4 linked regions of the Elephas maximus indicus genome follow. The protein of the gene in region 1 interacts with the protein of each later gene in a pairwise test. Links are inferred from orthologs where the notes say so. Each region holds a gene or a part of one and is shown on either strand. Other genes may lie near its edges. The genes, in order: HTT, FTL, UBE2K and PDK2.

Region 1 (7,744 bases):
TCAGCTGAAGCATCTAAACAGAAATGCCAAGATCCAAACTTGTGAGCAGCGAGTTTGTTAACTGAAAATTAATCACTATTCTCTTCAACAGCAAGATACATTAGAAGTAGGGTCTTTACTTACTTTATTTACAGTAATTATAACTAAACCCTATGGCAGCTGATTTCAGAGCATGCTAAGAGCCTTTAAGTTTCTATTCTAAAACACTTGCTTTAAGAAAATTTAAGGTCTAAACATTTTCACTGATTATATCTGCAAGGATACAGAAAAAACTTTAAGAGTAGTTGCCTTCGGGGATGATGTTAGGTACTTAGGAGAAAGGAGTGGGAGGGAGATATTTTAATTATTACCCTTTTGTAATTGTGGAATTTGTTAATCATCTTAATGTATTACTTATACAAAAATAATAGATTAGATTTTTAAAATAAATCAATCACACATTACCTTAAAATAATGAAACAAAATCTACCTACTTTGTCAAGCCAGCCTGAGAAGGAAACCTCTGTTACCCATATTTTGAAGATAAGCAAATTCATGTCCTGTCAAGTCAGCATAAGAAAGAGAAGGCGTCTGTTTAGACTGACCAAGTGTTTGAACAAGCCACCAGTGGACAACAGCGAGGTCTTCCTCCCCATCCCTCCCCATCGAGGACCCTGCCTAGTGCTTCCCGCTTTTACACAAGATACACACATATGCGGACGTGTGACTATAAATTATGTGCTGCAGAGATAAGCCAAACTGTCAAAAAGTTTCTCTGGATATTCAAACAGGTTTTAAGGAAAAAAATAATTTCTTTCTTTCTAAATTTTATTCTAACAATTAATCCAACATAACCTCCCTGAATCCTCATTATCTAATTAAACTCTCAGGACACACAGCAAAGATCATACAAGAAATATAAAGAACAAGTTACTAAAAATGAATCAGTCTTAACACAGTAAGACTCCTCAAGGGGCTGATTCCTGAAAACTCTTTCCTGTTGACTGCTATCTTGTACACACCAAGATCAGAAATAAAACACCTGGAGGTGAGAGAGAAGCTTGAACTGCAGCATGCTGTTGTTGTGTGCTGTATCACGAGGGCTCCTTGAAAATTGCAGCACCCATAACCCACTGCCCTCGAGTCAATTCAGACTCATAGTGACCCTGCGGGACTACTGGTCCACAGGGCTTCCAAGGGCGACCTTTTTTTGGCTTAGCAGCCGTAGCTTACTGTAGCTCTTAACCCCTACTGAACACTCAGCACAGACACTTCCAGGAAAAGCCCTTGAGTCCTATCAGAAGGTGCTATTAATGGTCTGAGAAGCTCTGCCGGCACAGTGCTTAAGGCTCTGCTGCTAACTCAGCGGTTGGCAGTTTGAACCCCCCAGCCGCTCTGAGGGAGAGAGACATGGCAGTTTGCTTCCGTAAAGATGTGCAGCCTTGGGAACCCTATGGGGCAGTTCTATGCTGTCCTATACTATGAGTCAGAATCTGATTCAACTGCCAATGGATTTGGGTTTATCAATGGTCTTTTTGTTTGAAAAATTCTCCCCAGGCACAGGCAGCGGAGATCCCTGCCTATCTAAGAGTAACAGAATGTCAGCAACGAAACAAAACAGCAGCTCGTTTACTGGCACCCCTGAGATGTCCCTGGGGTCCACACACACCCCACGTTTTAACAAGCTTGACTAGGATACTGGCAAAATGTACCCCTCATTCATCTCCCAGCAATCCGTCTCTCCCTGGGCAATGTGTCCTCCTTGTCCCCGAAGGAGACCATCAACTTTCCCTAATATTTAAGTCGGCTTTATTAGTTCCCACTGGTTAACGACAACCACCTAAGCAACTCATCTCTTCCTCCGCAATCGCGACTTGCTCAAATTCCTGCAGACCAACACCTGAGCTTACGTCGGCGGGTCTCTTACGTGACGCTTAAAAAAACGTTACTACCACTACGATTCATGAAGCAAATGCAATGCCTGGAGAATCTGGGAATACGGTCTCAAGTCACAGGCTGTTTAAAGTGCCACTTGGGAGAGCACTCTCCATTGGACGGCGTCCTCAGGCCCCTGCCCCCCCCAACCACTCCCGCCTAGACGTCCTAAACCATTATGTCATCCACTGTCCCCACATCACTCCAGCGCCAATTCCGGGCTCCCCTCGAGGTGCCCTGCGCCCCCAGCCCTCCTCCCTCTCGGACTAGCGGAGAGGAAGGGAAGCGGCCTGGAGGAAGCCAAACGGGACGTGGTCTCTAACTCCTCTAAGTTCCCTTCCTGACACACTTAAGACATCACCCCTACCCCCGTTTTTTGCAAATAAAAAGAAACAAGTTCTTTTCCTAACTCTCATCACCTAGGGAAGGCCAGAGCCTGGGGCCGTGACTTCCCTCGGTGGCTTCAGGAGGGGCCCCAGCGAGTCTCCACGTCCCCTCGCAGAAGGACGGAGACCCCAGAGAGGGGGCCCCGGGGGAGCAGGGGCTGCGGGCCCGCTGCCGGAGCTGGGCTCTCCCAGCAGGAGGGGGCAGGTGCCAACCTCCCGGGGGCTGCGAGGCCGCCACTCTCGCCGCGCGCGGGGCGGCCCAGACCGCAGGGACGCCGCTCCCCGAGCCGTCGCCCGAGGTCCCGCCCCGGGAAGAGAGGCTGCAGGGGCCCCGCGCTCCGAGCCGGGCCCGGCACTCACGGTCGGTGCAGCGGCTCCTCGGCCACGGCCGGGCCGGGCGGCGGCGGCGGGGGCGGGGGCGGCGGCGGCGGCTGCGTCTGCAGCTGAGGAGGCTGAGGCGGCGGAGGCTGCTGCTGTTGCTGCTGCTGCTGCTGCTGCTGGAAGGACTTGAGAGACTCGAAAGCCTTCATCAGCTTTTCCAGGGTCGCCATGGCGGCCTCCCGTCCGGCCGGGGCAACTCCCGGAGCCCTGGGCCCGACTCGCGGCGACGCGACGCCGCTCAGCAGCGGGGCAATGAATGGGGCCCGGGGCCGCAGCCAAAAGCGGAACCGGGGCGCTCGGCCATTTTAGAACTGTCCCGGCAGCCCCCGCGCCTCCCTACGTACCGAGACGCTCCGCGGCGGAGGCGGGGCCACGCCGGCTGGCGGGATTGACAGCCCGCGGCGACGGCTTCTGCCAATGGCCGGCCGAGGCGGCGGCCCGCCCACAGCGCCGCAGGCACGCAGCCTCGAGAGCTCCGGCCACGAGACCCAGCGCCGCGCCCCGCAAAGGCGCGGGGCGGGGCGTGCGGGAAGGGGCGGGGACGGGGCGGGGCGCGGCGGGCAGGGGGTGGGGGGAGGGGGCGGGGAGTGTTGGGAGGTGAATGGAGACAGGCGGCAGTGAATGAAGGAGGGAGGCGGAGCGCGGAGGAAAGGGCGGGACGAGAGAGAAAAAAACGAGGGGAGGGGGCGGGGCTAAGTCGGGGGGCGGGGCGCAACCAGGAGTACGGAACGTCGATGGGGCGGGGGCGGGGCCGGGGAGAGGGCGGGGCCGGGCTGGGGGGCGGGTCCGGTTGGGTAGGGGCGGGGCCGAGCCGGGGGCGGGGCATGGCTGAGGGCGGGAAGGACGGGGCCAGTCCGGGTAGGGGCTGGGCCGAGCCGGGGCGGGGCCTGTCTGGGGGCGGGGGTCAGGGCGGGGCAGAGCAGGGGCGGGGCCGGCTGGGGAGAGGGCGGGGCCGACTCGGGGGCGGGGCTTTCCGGAAGGGGCGGGCCCGGGCCCGGACGGAAGCAGACAGGAGACCAGCGGCCGGGGCGGTTCTGATCCGCCCTGACACGGCGCGGTCTGGCCGCCCGGCTCGCGAACAGGGGCTCCCGGACCGTGGCGCCGACCCTCTTGGGCGAAGCTCCAGCCCACGAGCGCCGTGCCGGGAGCCTGGCGAACGTGCGCCCTTTGCATCCTCAGCCGCCCGCCGTGGCTCCGAGAGGCAGCAGTGCTGCGGGTGGGAGCGGGCCGGGAGGGCGCCGGGGCACCGGGCTGCAGCTGCCCGTTCTCCGCTCGCCGGTTCCGGCTCTAGCTGCCGGACGAAGGTGGGACGAACGGGGCGTCGGAAAACAAACAATATTCTTAGGCAATGTTTAAGAAAATCGAAATTAATGCAAAAAACCCATCGGGAACAAAATATCCGAATACACAGTAGTGCCATTACTGAGTTTTCCCCTTGCCACGGGCTCCTGCATGGCCGGCCGGGGGCGCTGTTCCCCGGGCTCAGCCTCGCCGGCCGCTCTGCTCACCTGGGGAGCCGCCCCCTCGGCCCCGCGCAGGAAGGCGCCCCCGACGACTGGCGGCGCAGCGAGAGCGGCTGTGGCTGGGAGGTCCGTGCGCCCCACGTTGGCAGGTGATCGGCGCACTCGCTGGCCAGGCCCCGGTCATTCCCCTGCCGGGAGGAACGGGGAACAGCTGCATAGAAAACTGATTATGGTCGGTGGCTACTGAGGACCCGAGAGATCTGCCTTTCAGGGGTGAGGAGCCCAGGTGCCCCCCGTCCCCTAAAGCAGAGGCCCTGGCAGGGCAGGCGCCACAGCAGCTGGGCACCTTCCAGGACTCCCACCATGGGCGGAAGGAGGGGAGAGCGGGCCTGCAGCAGGTACAGGTGGGTAAAGTGGTAAAGCTACTCAGTCAACGGTGCTGCTCAGAGGCTGTGGCTGGTGCAGTGAGAAGCCCCTGGAACAGGTATATCAGGGCACCGCAGAGATGCCCCTACAGGAATGACCCCCACCCCCACCCAAGGGGCACCCCCTCCACAGCGGGTGGAGGTCGCTGCTCTCTCCAGTGTTGGTCTATGAGACACCTACTCATGCTGAGGGTGGTGATGGCTGGTGCTGGAGGGTCCTGGCTCCAGGGACTCCTTATCTCCTGGGGAGGTAGCTGAGCTTGCACAGGGAGGGAGTAGGAGGGCAGCTCTTCCCACCTGGCCACAGGGAGCCCCTCAGGGAGAGCAAGGTACAGCCAACCCAAGCCTTCACACTCAGATGCCTTCACACCTGCTCTCGGTGTTCCCTCTTCTGTGGCCACAAGCCACAGCCCCACCCTCTCCCAGAGCCTGTCAAGCATCCCAAAGTGTTCAGGTAAATGGAAACCCAGTAACAGGACAGGAAGCCTTGTTCCCAAGGGACAGCAATGGCCTCCCCTTCCTGGGGTAAGGACAGCAGAGAAACAAGAGGCCAAACTTCAGTCCCTGTTCCCTGAGACTAATAAAGGCCCTGTCCACTGTGTCAGGTGGGGTACCAGCTCCCACCCAGGGCAGGGCATGATGTGTTACTTGCTGGGGGAGGACGACTTCCAAGATAGCCTCAATGACCCCCAACTGCTAGGATTCACGCCCTTGTGTGCTCCCCTCCCATAAGTGCGGGCTGGACCTGGCAGTTACTGTTCCCCAATATGGCAAATGTGATAGGAGGTCACTCCGGCGATTTGGTCATGAAGATGGTGACTTCCATCTTGCTGGCACTCTATTACGTTCTCAGCTTGCACATTTTGATGAAGTAAGAGGCCATGTCGGAGAGGCCCAGGTGGCAAGGAACTGAGGGTGGCCTCCAGTCAACAGCCGATGGAGAAGTGAGTCCTGCCAACCCCACATGAGTTGGGAAGTGGATCCTTCCCATCGAGCTTCCAGGTGGGAAGCAGCATGTGAGAGACCAAGGAACAGAGGACCTGGTTAAGTGGTGCCCGGATCCCCAGCCCTCAGGAACATGAGACAATGCCTGTGTTGTTTAAGCCACCATGTCGGGGGTGATCTGTTACGGCAATAGATAAGTCAGACAGTTTCCTCCTAATAACTACTCTGACCTTCTTTAGTCATAAAAAACAGTAACAACAAAATAGTTGCCGTCAAAGTGGACTCTGACTCATGCTGACGCCACGCGTGTCAGAGCAGAAGCGTGCTCTAGCGGACTCTGACTCATGCTGACCCCACACGTGTCAGAGCAGAAGCGTGCTCTAGTGGACTCTGACTCATGCTGACCCCACGCGTGTCAGAGCAGAAGCATGCTCTACAGGGTTTTCAGTGGCTAATTTTTGCGAAGTAAGTTGACAGGCCTTCCTTCTGAGGAGCCTCTGAGTGGACCTGGACGTTTTGGTTAGCATCTGAGTACATAACTCTTTGAGCCACTCAGGGCCTCTCAACTTGTTGCCATTGCCGGCGAGGTGCTTCTGATTGAGAACAACCCTGTAGGACAGAGTAGAACTGCCTCCACAGGGATTCCAAAGCTGTAATCTATATGGAAACAGAACATCACATCTCTCCCCCGCGGAGTAGCTGGTGGGTTCGAACCTCTAAACTAGCAGCCAGGTGATCAACCACTACGCCACCAGGACTCCTTGCGGGGACTCCAGGACCTCGAGTTTTAGCTGAGCACTTTGACACTTAGCTAAAATACATTTCCCATTTTTCCTTTCAGCCATGTGACTAAATAAATTCCGCCAAGGAGATGAAAACAGAAGCAATGGGTGCTATTCTAGAAAGTCTCCGTAAAAGGGCGGGGTACACCCATCTTGAAGGGACCCCGGTAGCACAATGATTAAGCAGTCAGCTGCTAATCGAAAGGTCGGTGGTTCTAACCCATCAGCCGCTCCACAGGAGAAAAATGTGTCAGTCTGCTTCCATAAAGATTACAGCCTAGGAATCCTTATGGGGCAGTTCTACTCGGTCCTATAGGGTTGCTGTGAGTCGGAATCGACTTGACGGCAACCACCACCACCCATCTTGGAGTCCCTGGGTGGTGCAAACGTTGAACATGCTTGGCTGCTACCCAAAAGGCTGGAGGTTTGAGCTCACCCAGAAACACGTCAGAAGAAAGGCCTGGCGATCTACTTCCAAAAGATCACAGCCACTGAAAACTCTACAGCGCACTCTCTGCTCTCACACGCTGGGGGCGCCCATCTTCTCGCTGCCCAGGGATGAGGAGATATGGGTTGGCAACTGAGCAGCCACTTTTTTATTGTGCTTTAGATGAAGGTTTACAGAGCAAATTAATTTCTCATCAACCAACTATTACACATATTGTTTTGTGACGTTAGTTACCAACTTTGCAATGTGTCAGCACTGTCCCCTTCTCCACCCTGGGTTCCCCATTTCCATTCATCCAGCTTTTCTGTCCCCTTCTGCCTTCTCATCCTTGCCCCTAGGCTGGTGTGCCCACTTAGTCTCGTAGACATGGTTGAGCTACATGTATTACTGTTTGTTCTATGGGCCTGTCTAATCCTTGGCTGGTGAACTTCAGGAGTGACTTCGGTACAGAGTCATGTCCAGGGGCCATACTCTCAGGGTTTCTCCAGTCTCTGTCAGGCCAGTAGGTCTGATCTGTTTTTGTGAGTTAGAATTTTGTTCTACATTTTTCTCCAGCTCTGTCCAGAACCCTCTATTGTGATCCCTGTCAGAGCAGTCGGTGGTGGTAGCCGGGCACCACCTAGTTGTGCTGGACTCCGTCTGGTGGAGGCTGTGGTGGTTGTGGTCCATTACTCCTTTGGACTAATCTTTCCTTGTGTCTTTGGTTTTCTTTATTCTCCCTTGCTCCAGATTGGATGGGACCAGGGAAGTATCTTAGATGGCCGGAGCAGCCATTTTGGATCATGACAACAAAAGCCATGTACTGGGATGGTAGAGCTGGAAGGAGCCAGGCCCAAATGACTGGGTGGACTCTGACAGGGTCACAACAGAGGGTCCTGGACACAGCTGGAGAAAAATGTAGAACAAGACTCTAACTCACACAAAAAAAGACCAGACTTACCAGTCTGACAGAGACTGGAGAAACCCCAAGAGTATGGCCCCCAGATACCCTTTTAACTCA
Region 2 (6,379 bases), on another chromosome or scaffold:
TCTGCCTCCTCCTCTCTGGGTTTCTGTCCCTCTTTCTCTGGGTCTCTGTTCATCTCTCTGGGTCCCTGTTCTGTCTGAGTATCTGCCCCCACCCCCCATATCTCTGTCCTCTCTCAGGGTCTTGGTTGCCCCCCCAGGTCTCTCTCACCCTCTCTGAGTCTCTGCCTACCCCTCTCTGGGTCTCTGTATCCCTGTCTATCTGCCCCCCTGCCCTGGGTCTCTTTCCTCTTCTCTCTCTGGGTCTCGATCCTTCTCTCTCTGGGTCCCTGTCCCCCCAGGTCTCTTTCCCCCACTCTCTGTGGGTCTCTGTGCCCCTCTCTTTCTAGGTCTCTGCCCCCCTTTCTCTCTTTGGGTCTCTGTCCCCCTTTCTCTAGGCTTCTGTCCCCCTCTCCCTGGGTCTCTGTCTTTCTCTCTCTATCTCTGTTTCTCCCTCTCTGGGTCTTGGTCCCTCCCCCAGGTCTCTTTCCCCTGCCTCTCTGAGTTTCTGTCCCCCTCTCTTTCTCTCTTGAGTATCTGTGCCCCCCACCCCCATGTCTCTGTCCCCCTCTCTCTTTCTCTGGGTCTCTGTCCTGAGTATCTGTCCCCCTCCCCATGTCTCTGTCCCCCTTCTTCTGTGTCTTGGTCCCCCCCAGGTCTCTTTCCCCCTCTCTGAGTCTCTGTCCCCCCTCTGGGTCTCTGTACCCTTCTCTCTGGGTCTCTGTTCCCCTCTCTCTCTGGGTCTCTGTTCCCCTCTCTCTCTGGGTCTCTCCCCCCGACCCCGGTCTCTGTCCCCATCTCTCTCTGGGTCTCTGTTCCCCTCTCTGGAACTCTGTCCCCCTCTTGGGTCTCTCCCTTTCTGGTCTCTGTCCCCCCCTCTCTGGATCTTTTCCCCTTCTCTAGGTCTCTGTTCCTCTCTCTCTAGGCTTCTGTGTCCCTCACACTTGGGTTTCTGCCCCCTCACTCTCTGTTTCTTTCTCTCCTGCAACCTATGGTCTCTACCCCTCTTCTGATCCTCTCTGTCTCAGCCCCTCCTTTCCCTCCACTTGTGGACACTTTCAAAATCCCCTTTCCATAGGTGGGGCTTGCCTGGGGCTAAAGGTCTTTAGGCTGAGGAATGACAACTGGTCAATCAATAACTAGGCCTGACTAACTAGGTGGCTCAGGTCACTTACCCTCCCCCCTCCCCCATGTGCTCTCCCCAGAGACACTAAGTCCAAGCCAGACACCAAGTCAGGTGAGAAATGTCGGAGATATATGAGCTGAGACTGAGCCCCTGACCCAGAGAGAGGGAACGCTATGGCCACAGGAAGAATCTCCAGGAAAGACATAAGGGAACTGAGATAAAGTATGACGTGGAAACAAAAACATCTTGGGGGAGGGGGCCACAGGCCTGGTTCTGAGGGTCTCAGTCAGACCAATTGCAGCTGGCCCTGAGGGGATGAGGTCAGGGGAGGGGGGCCCTCCCACCTCAGTCCTGGTCCCCTTCCTGTGCCGAGCTCACCATGACTCAGCATAGCCACTCACCCAGACGGCCTTTGTTGTTGGGTGCCGAGGACTCAATTTCAACTCATAACTACCCCCATATTACAGAGTAGAACTGTCCCATAGGGTTTTCTAGGCTATGATCTTTAGATCTTTATGGGAGTATATTGCCCGGTCTTTCTTTCACAGAGCTGCTGGGTGGGTTTGAATTGCTGACCTTTGGGTTACGAGCCAAGTACTTAAACTTTGTGCCACCAGGGCTCCTTAACACCAAAACCAAACCCATTGCTGTAGCGTCACTTCTGACTCAGGGATCACCTTTTGGTTAGCAGGTGAGCTCTTTAACCACTGTGCCACCAGGGCTCCTATACACGCCCCTTAGGGACCCCAGATACTGGCCCAGCCTTGGCATCCACAGATCCCCTGGGTGAAGGGCTACCCCGCCTGCACTGGCTGGCGTGGCTGCTCTGCCAAGCAGACCTGACCTCTTACCCCTCCCCTGTGACTTCTGTTCCTATGCCACATGAGCTACCTCCATTACCGACTCATCTAGGGTCCAGTTGCTGTCTTTGTACCTTCCTCCTCTACACAACCAGGAGACTTGGTTGGGCAGTGATTAAGCGTCTGGCTGCGAACAGAAAGGTCAGCCTTTCAAACCCACCCAGCAGTTCCGTAGGAGAAAGACCCTGCTTTCATAAATATTACAGCCTGGAAAGCCCTATAGGGCAGTCGTACTCTATCACTTGAGGTCGCCATGAGTCAAAACCTGTCTTGATGGTACTCAACAGGGAGCTCCTTGAGGGCAGGGCCCTGCTTTGAGTCAGCTCTGCCTTCCCAGTCCCAGTATGAGCCTGGCTCACTTAAAAAAATGTATGTACAATGAAGACAGTCTCCTCCTAGGTCCCCAGGCTCTCCTAGTTTCCCGAGAGACCCTGAAGTAGTGCATATTGGGCTGGACACCCAACTACCTCTGAGAGGTCCCTTCAGGGCCAGAGAGAATTTCCACAGTCTTTAGACTGCCTCCAAAACAAAGAAACCCAATACGATCAAGTCGATTCTGACTCACAGCGACCCTATAGGACAGAGTAAAACTGCCCCATAGGGTTTCCAAGGCTGTAAATCTTTACAAAAGTAGACTGCCACATCTTTCTTCCAACAAGGGGATGGTGGGTTCCACCACAGACTTTGCGGTTAGCAGCTGAGCACTTAACCACCGAGCCACCAAGCCTCCTAGCCTCCAAAATAGTTCCCAGGAAATGCAGCCCAAGAGACCCCCCCCCCAAGGCTCTAACGTTATTTCCTACACACACCCCAATCTCAGCATCCAGAAAAACACTGCTGTTTTGTTTTTAGGTGCCATCCAGTTGCTTCCAACTCATAGCAACCCTGTGTACAACAGAATAGAACACTGCCTGGTCCTGTGCCATCCTCACAATCCTTATGCTTAAGCCCATTGTTGCAGCCATTGTGTCAATCCATGTCCTTAAGGGTCTTCCTCTTTTTCGATGACCCTCTACTTCACCAAGCATGATGTCTTTCTCCAGGGACTGATCCCCCCTGATAACACGCCCAAAGTATGTGAGATGTAATCTCGCCATCCCTTAAAATAGCCCCAAGGTATCCTGAAAGCCCAGACAATTCTTCCAAGATTCCAAGAGCTCTTGAGGGTTCCTGAGTCCCCCTACCTCTCAAAAAGTCCCTGTTCCTGTTAAGTGTCATTGACTCAATTTCAAAACATAGTGAACCTATGTGAGCCCTGTTGGCACAGTGGTTAAAGTGCTTGGCTGCTAAATGAAAGGTTAGTGGTTAGAACCCACTAGCCACTCTGTGGGAGAAATACCTGGCCATCTGCTTCCATAAGGATTACAGCCTTGGAAACCCTATGGGGCAGTTCTACCCTGTCCTATAGGGTAGATATGACTCAAAATGGACTTAACAGTAATGGGTTTGGTTTTTTTTTTAATGTTTGCGGGGAGCAGACCACCAGGTTTTTCACCTGCCTGCCAGGTGGATTCGAATTAAAATAGTGCCTAGATTTCCAGAAACACCCCAGCCCTTGAACCCCAAGGCTCCAAAACCACTGCTTTTCACAACTTGCAGATTCCTCTGAAGGCCCTAGAGACCTCCCCCAGCTTCCAAGAAAGGCCTCCAAAGAAACAGACTTCTTAGATCCAACTCTAAAGCTAGAGAGACCTTCCACTTTTGGGTAAACACTAGGGAAACAGCTCTCCTATCCCACAACCCAGCGAGACCCCCACCCAAAACCCAGTGCCATCGAGTCGATTCCGGCTCATTGCGAAGCGAGACCCCCAGGGTTCCAGAAATACTCTTCTTGGGGCCTTCCAAATTTCCTAATGACCGGGAAACCCCTTATCTTCCACAAGCAACCCCCCCTGCACCTCTAAGGAAGCCCCAGGGTTCTAAAAGAGTCCATGCTTTCAGAGACAAGCCCAGAATCCTACTTCCCTGAAACATCCCCAAGACCCCAGGATCATCACCGCCCAGGGCTCCCCAGTGTTCCCATAAACCTCCCATCTTCCAGAGCTGCCCCCAGAATCCCCCGACTTTGCGAATAAGCCCCAGGACCCTGCACCCACCGAACCCGCCTAGCACCCACTTCCTCCCCGCATTCCCATTTCACAACAGTCTCACGCTCCAAGCGCGTGACTCCCCAACCCCGGGGGGGCTGGGGGGAAGGGGGGAGGCGCCTATCTGTTCTGGATTGGTCAGGCGCGGGCTCAAGTCCCGCCTCCCGCCACCGCGGACTGGTCGACAGATCGCCCTGAAGCCCCGCCTGCGAGGAGCCGCATGCTATAAAACACGCCGCCCTGGCCCCCACCTTCCTTAAGCTCGCTCGGTGGTCCCGTGGATCTGTTTCTTGCTTCAACAGTGCTTGGACGGAGCAGACCCGGGGACGCCCTACCTCCAGCTTCGCGCTACCTTTCAACCTCGTCTCCTACGCGCAACCTCTGGGACCATCTTCTTGGCCATCCCCTGTTTCCAGGACCAGCTAACACCGTTTTTTGTAGTTAGCTCCTAATCGTCGACGAACCATGAGCTCTCAGATCAGTCAGAATTATTCCGCTGAAGCGGAGGCCGGCGTCAACCGCCTTGTCAACCTGCATCTGCGGGCTTCCTACACCTACCTCTCTCTGGTAAGGGTCCCCGAGACGTCCCCGGCCCATGTTTTCCCTAGCTGCGCACCTCCGGCCCTGTGCGCACGCGCGGACCTTCTTTGTCCCGTTGGATAGCAGAGGGCGGAGTCCTTCGCCTGGCCTCGCCTTCCATTAACCTTTGTTCCCTCTACCTCCCGCAGGGCTTCTACTTCGACCGCGACGATGTGGCCTTGGAAGGCGTGGGACACTTCTTCCGCGAGCTGTCGAAGGAGAAGCGCGAGGGTGCCGAGACTCTTTTGAAGCTGCAGAACCAGCGTGGCGGCCGCGCCCTCTTCCAGGATGTGCAGGTAAGTGGCGTGTGGGCCACGGACTACATCTCCCAGCAGGCCTTCCGCACAAGGCATTTGGACAGCTGCTCTGTAGGCGCTGTAGCGGATTCTTAGGAGATTGGGTTCGATCCTGTCTGGGTTTGTTTTTGGGCGAAGTAAAGGTGCTTTCCCAAGTAGTGGCCGGCCAGGCTACTGGGTGGTCTCATGGGAGGCAAAGTTGTAGGAGGCTTGGCGTGATAGATCAAGCATCCTTGCAGGCTAGGTCCATTATCCTCAGGGACTTCTGGGAAATGTAGGTTTTAGGTGTTTGCCAGATGTGTGAATAGTTGTGAGTCGTCTTTTTCTTGTACAGAAGCCGTCCCAAGATGAGTGGGGTAATACCCTGGACGCCATGGAAGCTGCCCTGGCCCTGGAGAAGACCCTGAACCAGGCCTTTCTGGATCTGCACGTGGTGGCTTCTGCCCAGGCAGACCCGCATGTAGGTACCGCCTTCATCCGTTGCAGCCCCTCCTCAGACCTTCCCTGGCGTTTAACCTTACAGTCTGAGCTTGCTTTCTTCTTTGATTTACTGGGCAGATTGCTTTCTGAGGACCACATTTGCCTCCCTCTTTCTCAGGAACTGCGTTTCTTATTTCTCCTTTCATATTCCTCAGCTCTGTGACTTTCTGGAGAGACATTTCCTAGATGAGGAGGTGAAACTCATCAAGAAGATAGGCGACCACCTGACCAACATCCGCAGGCTGGCCGGGCCCCAGGCTGGGCTGGGCGAGTATCTCTTTGAGAGGCTCACCCTCAAGCATGACTAGGAGCCTCCAGAGCCTCCTGTGAGGGCCCCTCTGCAATCTTCTGTCCTCATCAGGCTTTTGCCTGAATTTCTCCCTTTAGCTTTTAGGCAGCATCTGAACCACCCTGGAGGGCCCTCTCCCAAGCCGTGGACCAAATGGAAACAATAAAGCTTTTTGCAGCAGCTACTGGTGTTGTGTGTATGGTGTGGAAAAGGAGTTATAATCTGTTTTCACAGGTCTTCAGGCTGTGCTGGCAGGGAGAGGGGGCCCTATCTTTCATTATCTTATATTCTAAGGCAGGACTTTTTCCAGGGGGTTGTGTACGGGGTAGCTTCAGTTCTGTTTGCCTTGGCTGTTAACTTTCTCTCCTTGATGGTAGAGCCCAGACTCCAGGGAGGGTTTGGTGGCAGACCCAGGCATTGTTACAGGGAGTAAAAGTAATTAGAAACAGGTGTTGCTTAATGAGCAATTATGGGGCCAGGCTCTGTGCCAACCTCTTAAACAGCTACTATCTCTGGCTCAATCCTTGGGGGTAGATGAAATAATTATCCTCATTATATGGGGAAATTTACGACACAGTTAGCTGCTCAACTACTAGCTGAAAGGTCAGTGGTTTGAGCCTACCCAGGGATGTCTTGGAAGATGGGCCTGGATATCTGCTTCTGAAAGGTCACAGCCTTGAAAACTA
Region 3 (7,948 bases), about 41 Mb from region 1:
AGAGGCAACCAATGTTACCAATTTCTCATGAATTCTTTCACTTGTATAAGCAAATACACATATTTCTCCCTTTTGACATAAATGGTGGCCTCCTACACACTATTCTGCATCTTGCTTTTTAGGTTTATCTTTGAGGTTGTATTTAAACTAAAAACACACTCTAAGAATAGCTGTTTATAACCTCTTATGACCAGAATTCAGCAAACATCAATTATCTTTAAAGTCACTTAAAAGCCTCCCCTCCAAAAAAAATCTTATATTAACCAATACTCTTAGTAAACGAGCACATGAAATAAACTTTGGTAAACTGCAGATCTGCATAAAATGACTTGATAAATACTTGACTACTTCACCAGCTACTGAAAATACTACATTGACTCACAAAGTAAAAAGGAAGTAATACATGGATTATACAAGTCCTTTGACGAGTTGATAATAATCAACATAAAAATGCCAGTAAAAATAAAGCTATTTATTGGTTATATTTATTACAAGATTAAATCTTCTGACCCTTCCCTAAATGTTCTTTGCAACTAACTTTCCTGGAAGAAGTATCCTTTCAGATTTGCAAGGGTACTATTCTCAAAAAAAAAAAAAAACTCCTTTGTCTGTCTGCATTTCCTGTTTTCTTCCTCTGAAACACTATGACACTTATTTGAAGCAAGGCTTCATCATCCCTTACATATAAAAGAGAAGTACTATTTTAAAAGTATGCATTAGTAGAGCAATACAAGTATTTCTGGCAACCTAAGTACTAAGAATATCATGGTGAAAAGTCACCTCATACAAAGTGACCAACCAACATGAATTACTAGAGCAGTAAACCTTACCACTTTTATGTAATGGAAAATAAGGCATTAGAAGCTTCAAATTTGTACAATCTTATAAAAAAGTACGTTTTAGGCTGCTGGCAACAATATTAGCTGCAATTTTTCATTAATGTATGTCAACTATTCTGGAATACATTTTATAAAATAAAAAGTCAGAATCATTGTTTCACTGTGTATCAGTAGACATTTATGACTCTATTTCCAAACTGTACCATAAAAATACAAAGTCATCCTTCCATTCAGAGTTTTGGCACTTGAACAAATATAGGGGTTAGAGTTCACACACATGCTCTTTAAGGCAGATCATTACTTATGTACTAAAAAAATATATACTACCTACGTTCATTAAATCTGCTGGCATTTGTCATTTTTGAATAATTTTAAATAATTTTCTCCATGTGTACCTGGAAAAATACATGACTATTTTTTTTTTTATCACAGACCCAGTAAACACAAAGAAATCCCAGGTGATATCAGACTTAAGTCAATTACTCATCACATACTTAGAATGCTGAATTTCACAAATCGTTGTTGACATTATCAAAGTACGAACATAAGACAATGAGAGAAAAAAAAACAAACAGCAACAATATACTCAACAATGGGATGTGACATTAAGAAAAAAATCATTTTCAGTATTACTTTTTGATCTTCCTCTGTTAAATCCACGTGGGGAAAACAACTTGCTATTCTTGTTAATTTGGTATGAAAAACTGATACTGGCATAGTTTTGAGTCAAATTACTATAATGTTTTCAATCTCTTATATAAATAATTGTGTGCAGCATGAAAGTATCTAAAACTCCATAGGTCTCAAGCACAGCTTGAGATAAATTATTTTTTAATCACTTTAGATACATGTCAGGATAAACCTTCTACTCACCTTAATAAAGAGATACAACAACATATTAATCTGATGAAATCTCATGGGTTTTCTTGTTTTGTTCCTGTTTTTGAAATCTCATGTTTTTAATAGGGCTATTTTTCAAAAGTAAGATTCAGGTTAACTATGAGGGACATCATAATGAAGTTTCATGGTACAACACAACAGAGTCAACAGACAGCATTGTCTTAGAAGAGACTGACCTGTAACTTGTAAACAATATTTTGAAATAAGCTGTTCATACCCCCTACTATTTGTTCCTGGCTAAAAATATTTAAATACCTTTAATACACCAAACAACTGGCATTTACCCAGTCAGAAACCTTTAGATGCCAATAAATAAAGGGTCCAGAAATTGGGGGTCTAAGTGAGGTGATATAATTTGGAGTTAATTTCCTATCTCAGGTGAAATTCCCTTATATTCCCTACTTAAATAATGTCATTGTATCTCCCCTTCTCTTCGAACACCCAACTAAGAGGGAGTAACTCTGAATGCCTGTCTTTCTCCTTTCATCAATACCTAGGAGCTCTCATCGCTCCTTCCCTAAGGAAAGGGCGCTGAAGGCCTGACAGGCGATAACCCAGAATACCCTTAAAAGTGTGGGCCTACGAGCAGCACAGCTCCCTCGGATCCAGTTACCACCTTTTCCCTTCCCCCATGCCACTTCCCGGGTTTTCTCAGGCTCGGCCTGCACCCTCCCCACCCGCAGCCACACTTCCAGCTGCTGCTACCGCCTCGGGGGTCTCTCCACGGCTCACACCCCTCTGAGAAGCGCACCTCTTCTCTAACCTGCTCCCCAAAACGTGTTCGTCCCCAGACCTCCCGCAGGGAAGACCGTCCATCCTTGGGCCCTGAGAGGGGAGAGGAAGGCGGCGGAAGGAGGGGAAAGCTACTGCTTCCCCACAGGCAGTAGGGCGGCCGCGGGGCGGGCCACCCAGGGGTTACAGGGGATATCGGGGTGGCCGCTGGAAGGGCCCTCCCACCCTGGGCTGAGGTGGGGGATGGCCGGGAGTTCATTTCTGACCTCCTCGCTCTTCAGCACTTCCTTGAACTCCCGCTTGATTCGCTGCACCGCGATGTTGGCCATGTCTCCGCCCGCAGCTGATTCGTACCCGCCTCCTCCGCCACCGCTACGACCAACGCCACCGCCGCCACCTCTTCCTCCACTGCCTCCTCCTCCGGCGATTCAGACCCGAGCACAGGAACGCTGCCACTGCCACCTCAGCCGCCGCGCTCTCCTCAGTGTGGAATCACCTCCGCGCCCGGCCACCAAAATGGCGCCGGGTCCGCGCATGCGCACGATGCTGACCCGGCCGGGCGGCGCAGCCGCTCCGGGTGTAGCCTCAGCCGCGGCGCCGCGCGTCTCTCCGCTGGAGCTGCGGTCGCCTGACTCCGCCCCGTCGGAGTCTGGGCCGGGCGGGTGCGGTTTCCGCGCTGCCTGACGCACACTCGGCTTTTCCGAGTCCCTGCGACTCCGCCGCGCTGCGAATCAGAATGGTGTGGTCGTGGCTTTCAGTTCCTGGCCTCTGGCCGAAGGCTCGAACCCAACCCGGCAGGACCCACGCGGTTCTCTCTACTCGACCTGGACCCACGCCCTTACTCAGCCTGACCCAGACTAGAGCCCCAACCCACAGGCTTACTGTGCCCGACTATGTCTAGTGTACGAAAACACTATCCTAGAATTCAGTCCGGCCCATTTTCAGTTGGTAAGGCCCCAGAAAATGCACTGCGGTCCGTTGTTGTTCTGAAAACAGGGACACCATAAAGTGCCTCTAATATTCCCATCGGAACTAGAAATCATTGCTTTAAGTATCGTCCTTGCTGGTTCCATTAGGTGTATTTGAGACGGATACTCCATGGAGAGGCCTGAGGTAAGCTTAGACGTCAGATGTCGATTTTTTTTTTTTTTTTACTTATTTTACTTTTTGTTGTTGTTGAGAATATACACAGCAGAAAATACATCAACAGATACTGATCTTTGATCTATTTAGATAATTAATACCGAGCTGTGGAACTGAAAAGATGGTTTTCAAACTTAAGCATGCGTCAAAATCCCTTGGAGCTTGGAGAGATCGTTAAAACACAGATCGCTGGCCCTCGTCCCTGGAGTACAGGGCGAGCCTGATAATTTGCATTTTTAAAAAACTCCCAGATGATGTTGATGCTGCTGGTTCAGGGACCAAACTGAGAATCACTGAACTAAGGCATGCCAAAAATAAAGTGGAAATTGGAGAAATAATAGCTCCTGAAGGGATGGAAAGGAGGGCTTTTACTTCTATAAGCCTAAAGCCTGCAACTGATCTGGCATTAATTGGCACTCAATAAATATTGACTGAATGAATGAATAAAGATAACAGTAAAATGTTTTTAGTGGAAAGGAAGTTCGAAAGGCAATTTAAAAGGGGTTGCTAGGGATTATAGTTAATAATATACTTTTGATGCTGAGAGGTATTTTGAATATGACATTTTGGAATAAGTGATAAAAGGTGTTATTTAAAAGTTTATATTTCATGCACTTCCTTCACCTAACCAATTAGTAAAGTACCCTGTTATGAAAATATTGCAAAAGTTATTAAAAATGTGGGAGCAGAAAAAGAAATCACGACTAGAGGTGAATCATTTAGTTAAGGTGTTAAGGGAATTTCTTGAATTCCTGCCCCAGGAACCAAGAGGAGGTTGTTTTATTCCAGCTCTCCTCATGCCTGGCTGTAAGATCATGGTCAACCTCGTTTTCCTCATCTGCAAAACATGGAAGGTGGATTAAGATGATCTCTTTCAAGTAAAATAAGTGTTCAAAACATCATCTCAGGACATCATTTTCCTAGGTGGACTGGCATAAATTACAAAACTCTTCCAGCAGAGCCCCCTAGTGGTCTTGAAAGAAACCAAATATATAAGTGGGTCACAGTACAATAATAACGTAAATCATGCAGTGCTATGTGTGTTTGTGCCAGAACTAAAAAATATCACTTTGAAGTGTGCAAAAATTTTGAATACTTTACTTTTATATCCCTCATTCAGTTGCCAATCCCAATGTTGGAACTTCAAAGAAACTTGGTATATTCAAATCACAGAGAAACCAGTTAGAAGGGTATAGTAATTTCCTTGGGGGAAGGGAACTTAGTAATTTTTAAATGCACATAATCATTGACTCTGCAGTTCCACTTCTAGGGATTCATTTTACAGTCCTTCCAGAGAATGAGGCAGCTACATATTAACTAATATGAGACAATATTCAAGATACATTTTAAGTGAAAAAAGCACCGTGCCAAATGCAATGAGATATCCTGGATTGGATCCTAGAACCAAAAAAAATTAATGGAAAAACTGGTGAAAGCTGAATAAAGTCTATAATTTAGTTAATAGTATTGTTCCAATGTTGATTTCTTAGTTTTGACATGGTACCATTGTTGTGTACCATGTTAACATTAGAGGAAGCTGGGTAAAATGTATACAGGAATCTCTGTACACTTCTTTAAAACTTTTCAGTAAATCTAAAATTATTACTAAATAAAAAATTTATGTTTAAAAGAGGCACCGGGAAGTCCATATTGTGTATAGTACGCCATCTTATGTGTGAGAGGGGAAAGGAATAACTTGTGTATTTGATGTTCGTGAATCCATACAGTATTGATGGAAAGATACGTAAAAAACTGACAACAGTGGTTATCTCCGAGAAAGGAATTTAAGCACCTTGGAGAAGACAAGGTAGGAGACTTTTCACCATGTGCACTGTTGTATATTTTACCTATTCAATGAAGTAACTTTTTAAAAAAGTGTTTCCAGTAATACAGATCATAAGCTTTTTACTACTACCTAGGTCTGATTGATTACTTCATTTACTAATTAATTAATTAAACAAAAATTTAGTGAGTGTCTCCTATGTGCCAGGTGTGATCTAGACCCTGAAGAAATATCTGTGAACAAGAAAAAAAGAAAAACCCTGCCTTTGTGAAATTTACATTCTAGTGGGGGTGGGGGAAATAAAATTAATCTCAAAGTCTGCAGACCCCTGAGGGTCCCTGAGATGTTTTCAGGGGGTCTGCCATGCCAAAACTATTGTCAAAACTGTACTAAAACATTATTTGCCTTTTCACTGTACTGACATGTGCAGTGATGATGCAAAAGCAGTGGTGGGCAAAACAGCTGTAAAATTTCTATATTAGTGGTAATTCTTCAATGTCACATACCCATGGTTAAAAAAAAAAAAAAGCCAGTTTCACTTTAGAATGTCTTTGGGGAAGCAGTAAATGTTATTAAATCTCAACATTTGAGTAAATATCTTCTTAATATTCTGTGCAACAAAATGGGAAGTATACGTACAGAATGTCTGCATTGTAACAAAGTACAAGGTAAGACACTTGGGCAATTTGCTGAGTTACGAGCTGAACTAGCCATTTTTTTTTTTTATGAAACACTGTTTTTACTTGGAAACCCTGGTACCGTAGTGGTTAAGAGTTACAGCTGTTAACCAGAAGGTCGGCAGTTCAAATCCACCACGCGTCCTTGGAAACTCTGTGGGGCAGTTCTACTCTGTCCTATAGGGTCGCTATGAGTCGGAATCAAATAGACAGCAACAGGTTTTATTTTTACGTGACATAATGACTCAGGCAAAGTATGTTTATTACAACTTGGGTATTTAGCAGACATTTTCTCAAAAATCAGTGAGGTGAGCCTGTCGCTTCAAGAAAAACACCTGACAGTATGTGTCGTCCATGATAAAATTCAAGCTTTCAAGTGACAGAATTTTGGAAAACATGTCTGCCACCATGAACTTCCCAATACTTAAAGATATGGCTGATGATATTGATGGTGATATTAACAGATGTGATTGTTTGCTGTTATACAATGGGATGTGTCAACATTTGGAAGCTCTGTACAAGACAGTGAAGCAATATTTTCTAAATGATCAATGCATGGTGTTACAAAATCATGCATGGGTAAAAAAGATCCCAAGGTTCAAGACAGACCAATGAATTTTAATGTAATAGAGTACACACGGACAACATTTCAGATTCCACATTGCAACTAACCTTTATGAAACTGCCATTTGTCTAGTTTGGGTGTAATATTAAAGAAGAATATCCACAATTATCTGAAAAAGCTATTAAAATATTCTTCCCTTATCCACCTAAATATCTGTGTAAGGTTAGGTTTTCTTCTTATACTTCAACCAAACATACTGCAATATATTGAAAGCAGAAGCAGATAGGAGAATCCATCAGTATGCTAGTAAGCCAGTCCTTAAAGAGGTTTTGTTTTGGAAAACAGTTATTTTTTAATATTATTTATGTGAATATGTAATGGATTTATTATAATTCTATTATAATAAAATTAATAAATTACATTTCTCAGTTTTTATTTTTAATGCAATAAATATTGATAGATATAAGCCATGTAAACAAAAGCTCTTTGGAATCCTCAATAATTTTTCAGAGTACAAAGGGGTCCTGAGTACATTTGAGTATACTGTACTGCTCAGACACTAGGCTTGGATCTAAGAAGTCACAGGCTTTCAGAATATGTAATTTACGTAAACATGATATGTGTCAAGGCTATAAAAATGATTTTAGGTCAAATGGAGGAAAGTTAATCTGGTTGTTCCTAAAAGTTTTGATGTGTTGATTCAAGTAAATATGGCAAGGCATACTAGTGCTTTGCTAACCCTTGATAATAATTACTAACATTTGAAGTGTTCAAATCTCCTTTTCGTAGACCCTGCTAAGCTCCTATTACTGCTCTTCAGATTCAAATTTCCTGCTCTTCCAAATGCAAAGAAATTCTTTTTTCGCTACAACCCTTTCCTGACCTTGGGTTTTGCCAACTTTTTGATATATTTTTCCTCTCTCTGCTTCCCTCACTGTTGCCTATTCTACCCACGCCTCTCATTTAACTCTTTTTTAAAAAAATACTCAGTCCTAACTCTGTATCATTTTACTTTTTTTTGCTTTCACTGACCTCTGCCCTTTCCATGCTGCTAGCTCTCTGCCCCCCCCGACACACACCCACACCCACACCCACACCCACCCACCCACCCCCCCCCCCCCCCCCCCCCCGCTGTAAGGAGCTTTAGTTGCCCGAATGGAAAGCAGCATTTAGATCCACAGTCAAATTTCTAAACTTAGCTCCAGGTCAGTGGGCACCACAGTATTGATTATAATGCACATTATATTCTAAATTTAGAGAATTAGATCTAAACCCCAACCATCGCAGGTTCCCAAATATCTACAGCATG
Region 4 (7,880 bases), on another chromosome or scaffold:
CTTGAGGACTGACCCAAGCTGTTGTGTTTTCAATTGTCTCATACGCATGCGAAAGGTGGACAATGAATAAAGAAGATCAAAGAAGAATTGATGCCTTTGAATTGTGGTGTTGGCGAAGAATATTGAATATACCACGGACTGCCAAAAGATCAAACAAATCTCTCTTGGAAGAAGTACAACCAGAGTGGTCCTTAGAAGCAAGGATGGTGAGACTATGTCTCACATACTTTGGACATGTAATCAGGAGGAATCAGTCACTAGAGAAGGAAATCACTGAAAAAGAGGAAGACCCTCAATGAGATGGATTGACACCGTGGTTGCAACAATGGGCACAAGCATAGCAACAATTATGAGGATGGTGCAGGACTGGGCAGTGTTTCATTCCGTTGTGCATAGGGTCACTATGAGTCAGAATCGACTCGACAGCCCCTAACAACAACAACAACCATATACCCCCACTCTGACTGGTGGGCCCAGTGACATACTGAGTCTCCTGGTATTAGTGTCCGTTGAGAGCTAGTATCCAGTAATCCCTGAAAAGTCTATTTCCTTTTCCCCAACGAACAGTAATTCTCGTAAAAGGCCATAGATCCCTTTGGAAAAGGCTGGAAGAAAGATTAACAGTACAAATTTTTAGCAGTGTAGTGGGGTCCTTCCTCAAGGGAACCTGGCCCCCCCTTCATTTAAGGGGTTTTGGGTCTTCAAACTTGCTCAAGTCTGGGAATTGATTAAAGAGCCGTGACTCTCTATTCTGACAATTCGAATTAGACTGCTGTTCGCTTGACCTAGAATTCATTTGTTTGTACGGATCAAGTAAATATTTCGAAGATTTCCTACCTATTTCACACTTAGGGACACCATGACCAAGTAGCCCACGCCAGAAGTCCATAGGAGCCAGGCTATTCTGATTACTGCTTTGGCTCCATGGTCCATTACGGTAACCATGCCAACCTTGTCTTTGTTGATTGAGCGACACCACTTGGCCCCAACCACCACAAGGTCTAATCAGCCCCATTGTAGTTAGGTGTTTTAACTCAGCTAGGGCAATTCCCACTGTCAAATCTGACTTACATAAAATAGCAATCACAGCAGTCTTTGAGGATGCTGGGGCTCCCCTTCACAAATTTGTTCCTCACCATTGTGGTAAAAGATGTATCCTCTGTGCACTCCATGTGTGGGTCTGTGGGTCTAACCTGATAAATCCACTCTAGCATGCCAATTTTCCTAATCCTGTGGATTCCTTCTTCTATAGTATGCCAAGGCAGGTTTGGTACTTCAGCTTGATTTAGTGTAGGCCACAGCATAATCCACGCTTCAGTAACGCAACCAAATAAACTATTAGATCCTTTCCTAACCTCTTGAGTTGAAACATTTAATGAAGTATCTGTACTTAGTGGGCCCATATCAGTAAATTCAGGCTGATCCATCCTTATCTTCCTTGCACCATTATCCCACACCCTTAATAGCCATTCCCACTCATATTCCCTAGGTTTCTGTTTGTACCCATTAGAAAAGTCAAGCAGTTTTTTTGGAGTGTTGCGTACCTCCTCCTGGGTCACACTTTGTACTTCACCTTTTGGGGTTCCCTGGGAATTTAGCCTAGAAGCCAAAATGGATGGTGGGGATATGTTTTGGGAACATTCAGCATTGTCTTGTAAGGCATCTGCCTCAGGCAACACCCCAGGCAATGACTCAGACAAAGTCTCTTCCGATGTAGCTGGGTGAATCTCAACAAATGGCGGTGGAGAGGTTAATGGTTTTACCAGAGAAGGTGGCTTATCGGATAAAGATGGAGTAATTGCTTCAAATGGGAGTGGGAGGGCTAGTTCTGTTAGCAGGAGTGATTCAACCAAATTTAGGGGCTCAGGGTCCCCAGCTTCCTGATTATCTGCCCATATGTCCCCATCCCAACTTTCAGCATCCCATTTCTGACCAATCAATGCCCTCACCTTAACTTCAGACATCACTTGAGGTTGGGAATTCAGTTGGTGTTGTAATTAAGCCACTTTTACAATAAAATTCTGGGCTTAGTTTTCGGCAATATCAGCTCTATCCTACAGGAAATAAAGTTTTCTTTCAAGACACAAGTGGAAACTTTGAGGTCGTTTATGCAGCGCTTGAGCTTCGACTCTGAGCCCCTGAGCTCATCCCTTTCTTTTACTACTTTGTCTAGAGAAAGTAGGACCAACCAACGAGCTTCCTTATACTTCTCATTATGACAAAATTGTAGAGAGGTACAAGCATGTGATGACCCTGAGCCTCACCTCTCACCAATATGTGATCTATTGGTGGTGATATTTTGCCTATTTCTATTGCCACCTTACGCCATGGATTAGCAGTGCCCTCTTTACCACCGGAAGCAGGGTCATCAATGTCTTTAAGACTAACCAGACTTGAGAATCAATTTAGAAAACTCATCCTTACAATTTTGTTTCTCTAGAACCACTCTCAGCGTCTTATGCTGGGCTCTCTAGAGAAGCAAAACCAGTGAAGCATCTGTCTGTACATAGATAGAGAGAGGGCTTTATATCAAGTAAGTGGCTCATGAAGTTGGAGAGGCTGGAAATCCCAAGTCCATGGGTCAGGCTAGAGGTTTCTCCTGACTCACATAGCTATAGGGGCTGGTGAACCCAAGATCGAAACCACAGAAGCTGACGAACCCCAAGATCGGCAGGCAAGCTGCTAGCTCAAGTCCGAAGAACCGGATGTCAGGTGAACAGGAGCCAGCTGCAGGATCCAGAGCGAGCAAAAGCCTAAGAGCCTTGCCAGAAAGTCCATCTATATTGGATGCAGGCCACAGCCCCAAGGAAACTCCCTTTCAACTGATTGGCTACTCACAGTAGATCCCACCATGAAGAGATCACACTACATAAGATTTCATCATGGAGGTGATTATACATCATTATACAACTGCCAAACTACATCATAACTGCCAAACCACTGAGAATCATGGCCCAGCCAAACTGACACACCACCTTAAAGATCACAGTTGGGATCATTGGATCATATGGCAATTCTATGTTTAACTTTTTGAGGAACCACCAAACTGTTTCCCACAAGTCCTGTTCTTTACAGTCACTTCTGAATGAAGCCTGAGCCTCAGTCTCCGCATCTATAAAATGGGGATAATAACAGTACAATAGCACTGTCTTGAGAATTAAATGAGATAATGTATGCAAACAGTGCCTGGCTCATAAGTTATTATCCATTCAGCTAAGAGTGTCTTCCATTGTGAAGCCTTGTGCATACAACTCTGTGTTAGCTCTCACCATACTCTGTTGTACCTACTTACTTACTTATGCAGCTGTCTTAGTTATCTGATGCTTCTATAATGGAAATACCACAAGTGGATGGCTTTAACAAACAAATTTATTTTCTCACCGTTTAGGAGGCTAGAAGTCTGAATTCAGCATGTTGGATCTAGGGGAAGGTTTTCTTTCTCTGTTGGCTCTGGAGGCAGGTCCTTGTCTCTTCTGAGCTTCAGCTCCTGGGCAATCTTCATGTGGCCTGGGATCTCTCTTCCCCAGTCTCTGCTAGCTTGCTTTTAATCTCTTTTATATTTCAAAAGAGAATGATTTTAGACTAACCTATCCTATTAACATAACAAAGACAACCCATTGCCAAATGAGATTATAACCACAGGCATAGAGGTTAGAATTTACAACACGTTTCTTTTTATTTTTAGGAGACACAATTCAATCCGCAACAGCAGGTATCTCCCAAACTGAGCGCTTGAGGAGAAAGACCATGTTCTAATCCTGCCTGTGTTTCCTGTTCCCAGGAAAAAGCCTAGCACACATTAAAAACCAATTGCTGTGGGGTCGAGTCCTAATCATGGCGACCCCATGAATGTCAGAGTAGAACTATGCTCCATAGGATTTCAAGGGCTAATTTTGGGGCAGTAAATCGCCAGGCCTTTCTTCCGAGGCACCTTCAGGTGGACTCGAACCTTCAGCCTTTGGCATTTGGTAAGTGCGGGCAGAAGACTGAACCCAGGAAAGATGCTATCAAAGTGTTGACCCCTTGGCCCAGTACAGGATATACCACGTTGGACCTCAAGAGGGCCCTGTATGTTCCTTACAGAGAGGCGGGGCTGCTGGGAAAGGAGGACCCAGGGAGGCCGGGACCAGCACAGGCTTCCCCTTCGGCCCCAGCACGAATCATCTCCCGGTACCTCTTTTTAAGGAATCCCAGTGCGAAGAGAGTCGCTTTCTCAGCTAGATGTCCAAAGATTCCTGCTCGGTCAAATGAGCTAGATAATAATGAAAATGTTTTGAAAACGGCACACGTAGACGCTAGCTGTTAGGGCTTTGACTCCGTGTTTTTCAACTGGAGGAGGCGCTTGGATCTTTGTGGAAGTGGGAGGGCCGTATGTCTATATGAGGGATTAATGTAGGCTCGCATCCCGGTTCAGAATTTTGCAAATAATCATCGTCTGGGTCACCGTCATGGAAACTGTCCAAGAAGACTGATTGCTGGAGGGTTGGGGAGAGACTAGGGACCCACAAGACCCCCTCAGGGAAAGTAGGGAGAGATCAGGACAGGTGAAACAAGCACCTTTGCGAAGAAAGTTTAGTTGGAAGCTACCTGGACAATTCAGAGAAGGAAAGGGTTAAAATGAGCCGACAATTGGTGGAGATTTGGGGAGGGAGCAAGGGAAAGGGAGGAAATTGGAGGGGAAAGAAATTAAAAGGCTCGAAGGACCTCTGGGAAGAAAGGAGTTAACCCAGCCTCCGACCCTAGAAGGAAAGGGAGGAGTTAAAGATCAGAGGCGGACTGGCCGCGCCGCCCTCCGAAAACAACAGGCCGCCGCGGGCTGGGACGGGGTTAAGCAGGCGGGCCCAGAGGGAAGCCACGTGCCGGAGCGGAATGTTAGTGGTTCTCCCGTAGTTGTTTGCACATGGCCATTGGCGACGTCGGGGCGCCACAACGAGCCGATTGGCTGGGGTTCAGAGGCCCCCCCCGGGCCAGGGGAAGCTGGCGGCCGAACCGGGTTGCTGAGGCTGGCTGGACCGGGCTGGGCCGAGCCGAGCGCGACAGCTACGCGTGCTGTGACAGAGTCGGAACCCGAGCCGCGGCCGCCGCCATGCGCTGGGTCCGGGCGCTGCTGAAGAATGCCTCCCTGGCAGGGGCGCCCAAGTACATTGAGCACTTCAGCAAGTTCTCCCCATCCCCGCTGTCCATGAAGCAGTTTCTGGACTTCGGTACGGAGAGGCGGGAGGCAGCTGGCACCGGGGCACCGAGAGGGGCAGCCGGGGGATGATTTGGGGGTGATTGGAGGGGTCTAGACAATGAAGGATTAACGAGGAGGAGAAGAGAGGCCCTGAGTGACGGAGGAGGGTTGCTAGGAAGGGTACAGGCAGGAAAAGGTTAACGGGGAGGAAAGGGAAGACCGAGGCATGAAAGGGTTAGGGGCGCCCCAGCTGAAAAGAGACTGTGAACTGAACTACTAATGGGAAGGGGGAGGGGGGAGGGCACTGAGAACGATGGGTCCAAGGTTTCTTCCTGGGCTTTGTGAGGGGTCTTGGGGAGTAAGGGACGGGGGAGGGGGGGCCATTAGGGTAGGAAGGGAGTAAGGTGACATTCTAGCACTAAAGGGTTAATGTGGCATTATGATGACTCTAAGAATGGGGGATAGAGAGGAAATGGGGGGTGCTAGTGGAAGTAACAAGGAAGAGTTGGGGAGGGGTAGCCATCTGGAAGGAGGAGACCTGGGCTGGGCATGGAAAGGTTAGACATTCCTGGATAGACTGAGAGAAAAGCAGGGAGCAGTTGGAGAAGGGGGCTCTCTCAGAAGAAGATGCCAACCAGAGAGGGAGCTCCTGACCAGTAAACCCAATGAAGGATGAAGGATGTGGCTCCCAACCATCCTGGTGGGCAAGGACACTTGAAGATCAAATCTGCCCCAGCCTGGCACCCTGTCCCTAGCTTGGCAGGGCCCTAGCACCATAAGGTGAAGTCAGGTCGCTTGTACCCACCCTTGGCTGCTTCTGGATTCTTGGGCCAGAATCACCCACCACCAGCATCTGGAGGTAGCTGTGGGGCAGGAGCAAGGCGGTACCAACCTGCCAGTTGAAGCAGGCATTGTGTAGGCTCTGTCTGTCCACACAGTATTTCCATGGTGCCAGCTGGAGGTTGGGAGGGGGTGCCCAGGTCTCTGAAGGAGCCCTGGGGGTGCTGTGGTTAAAGTGCTTGTCTGCTAACTTAAAGGTCAGCAGTTCGAACCTATGAGGTACTCCGGGGAGAAAGATGTGGCAGTCTTCTGTAAAGATTTACAGTCTTGGAAACCCTATGGGGCAGTTCTGCTCTGTCCTACAGAGTCCCTGTGAGTTAAAATCTATTCAGTAGCAATGGGTTTTGGCTTCTCTTGGCCCAGGTCTCTGAAGAGTTGAGAAGATAGTGCCTGGCTCAGGTTACAGCTGCGTCACTGACAGGAAGGGGCGGGGAGGGGGCAGTCAGAACACAAGGGCACCTGTTGCCCCAGACTTGTTTGCCCACCTCCTGGGCTTTTGAATCTTGAGCTTCCCCAGTATGGGAAAGCTTCTTGGGCCCACCACTAGCCCCAGCAACTGTCCAGCCCAGACTGGGCCCCAATTAGAAAATGTTGCTGCTGGGAGGGGCCCACAGTAGAGTTCAGTCTGTTCGTAGTATAGTGGGAGAAACAGACCTTCAGAAAGATGGTGACACACTCTGAGTGACAGAGTTGGAAGGAGAGCCTGGACTAGAACCCAGGTCTCCTGACTCTAGGCCATGGCCTTATTCAGACTTCCAAGCCCTCTTCTTAAAGACAGGCCTCGGTTTGGGGCTGCTGTCCTTGGGCCCTGTTTGCCTTACAGGCAGGCATTAATGCAGGGTGCCACTCTGCAGTGGGCATCAGGAGCAGCCTGGAAGAGACCACACTGGGACCCTGCAACCGCAGTGGTCCCGGTTTAGTCCCCCACCCTGGGTAGGGATAGATTTCCCAGACTGCTCTGCCCACCTGGATCAATCCCCCAAAGTGAATGTCCAGAAGAAAAGAGAAGACTGAGGTGACTTAGGCCAGAGGCCGCTCCAAGTGGGCCCAGGGATGGGTGGCCCTGTCCCCCATGGTTAAAGGTTCACCTGGAGGTGGGGAGAGGATGCAGCCCCCTGGAAGGTTAGGCATGGTGTATGGAGGTTTGAGCATGCAGGGGAGGAGACCTGTGTTGCTCTGTGCTCTTGGTCAGGCTGCTTCCTCTCTGAGCCCTCAGTACACGAAGAGCCTGACTGACCTGTCCTCTGGCTCTTCTAGTTTGAAGTTCTTGGGCTCACCCCTCTCTCCTTCCCCCAGGGTCCAGCAATGCCTGTGAGAAGACCTCTTTTACCTTCCTCAGGCAGGAGCTGCCGGTGCGCCTGGCTAACATCATGAAGGAGATCAACTTGCTTCCTGACCGGGTGCTGAGCACACCCTCGGTGCAGCTGGTCCAGAGCTGGTGAGACCCCTGGCCAGGGCCCTGCACCCTCCCACTCCATTGCCAGGTGTCCCTGGGCTCAGGGATGGAGGCTCCATGCTCCCAGCAGCCTTGATGGGGTGGGGGCAGAGCAGAGGCACAGGGGCTCAGGGGGCCAGGGAATTGCCCAAGGTCATGTGGGAGTCCTAGGCCAGAGCAGGGACTAAGATCCAGCTCCTACCCTCCAGTGTCTACGGGACAGCCTTATATTCACCATCCTCCTTTCTCCAGAAACCCAGGATCCGTAGTTTGGGTAAATCATAGTTGGCCCAAGTCCTGGGACCTCGTGGTTTTCACAGCTAAAATTCCAAATCAGACTGATGTCAGCATTAGCCACAGCCCTGGCCCTGGAAGCCCAGCATGTGCTATGTTAGGCTTTGCCTTTGTTGAATATTTATCTGGGTTTACTTT

What was found.
Region 2: the proteins of HTT (region 1) and FTL interact in binary tests that used the Homo sapiens proteins (3 or more experiments, as listed by UniProt). The link is inferred for Elephas maximus indicus from reciprocal best matches to the Homo sapiens genes HTT and FTL.
Region 3: the proteins of HTT (region 1) and UBE2K interact in binary tests that used the Homo sapiens proteins (3 or more experiments, as listed by UniProt). The link is inferred for Elephas maximus indicus from reciprocal best matches to the Homo sapiens genes HTT and UBE2K.
Region 4: the proteins of HTT (region 1) and PDK2 interact in binary tests that used the Homo sapiens proteins (3 or more experiments, as listed by UniProt). The link is inferred for Elephas maximus indicus from reciprocal best matches to the Homo sapiens genes HTT and PDK2.

The regions. Positions count from the first base shown.
Region 1 is NC_064823.1:162,026,518-162,034,261, reverse strand, and holds the start of HTT (huntingtin), read right to left. Parts: upstream 3,017-7,744; 5' UTR 2,852-3,016; coding exon 2,661-2,851; intron 1-2,660.
Region 2 is NC_064829.1:99,377,884-99,384,262, forward strand, and holds FTL (ferritin light chain), read left to right. Parts: upstream 1-4,294; 5' UTR 4,295-4,514; coding exon 4,515-4,616; intron 4,617-4,777; coding exon 4,778-4,924; intron 4,925-5,258; coding exon 5,259-5,384; intron 5,385-5,559; coding exon 5,560-5,712; 3' UTR 5,713-5,873; downstream 5,874-6,379.
Region 3 is NC_064823.1:121,116,484-121,124,431, forward strand, and holds the start of UBE2K (ubiquitin-conjugating enzyme E2 K), read right to left. Parts: upstream 3,018-7,948; 5' UTR 2,801-3,017; coding exon 2,738-2,800; intron 1-2,737. UniProt on the Homo sapiens protein: Accepts ubiquitin from the E1 complex and catalyzes its covalent attachment to other proteins. In vitro, in the presence or in the absence of BRCA1-BARD1 E3 ubiquitin-protein ligase complex, catalyzes the synthesis of 'Lys-48'-linked polyubiquitin chains.
Region 4 is NC_064837.1:43,535,263-43,543,142, reverse strand, and holds the start of PDK2 (pyruvate dehydrogenase kinase, isozyme 2), read left to right. Parts: upstream 1-4,879; 5' UTR 4,880-4,900; coding exon 4,901-5,204; intron 5,205-7,309; coding exon 7,310-7,451; intron 7,452-7,880. UniProt on the Homo sapiens protein: Kinase that plays a key role in the regulation of glucose and fatty acid metabolism and homeostasis via phosphorylation of the pyruvate dehydrogenase subunits PDHA1 and PDHA2.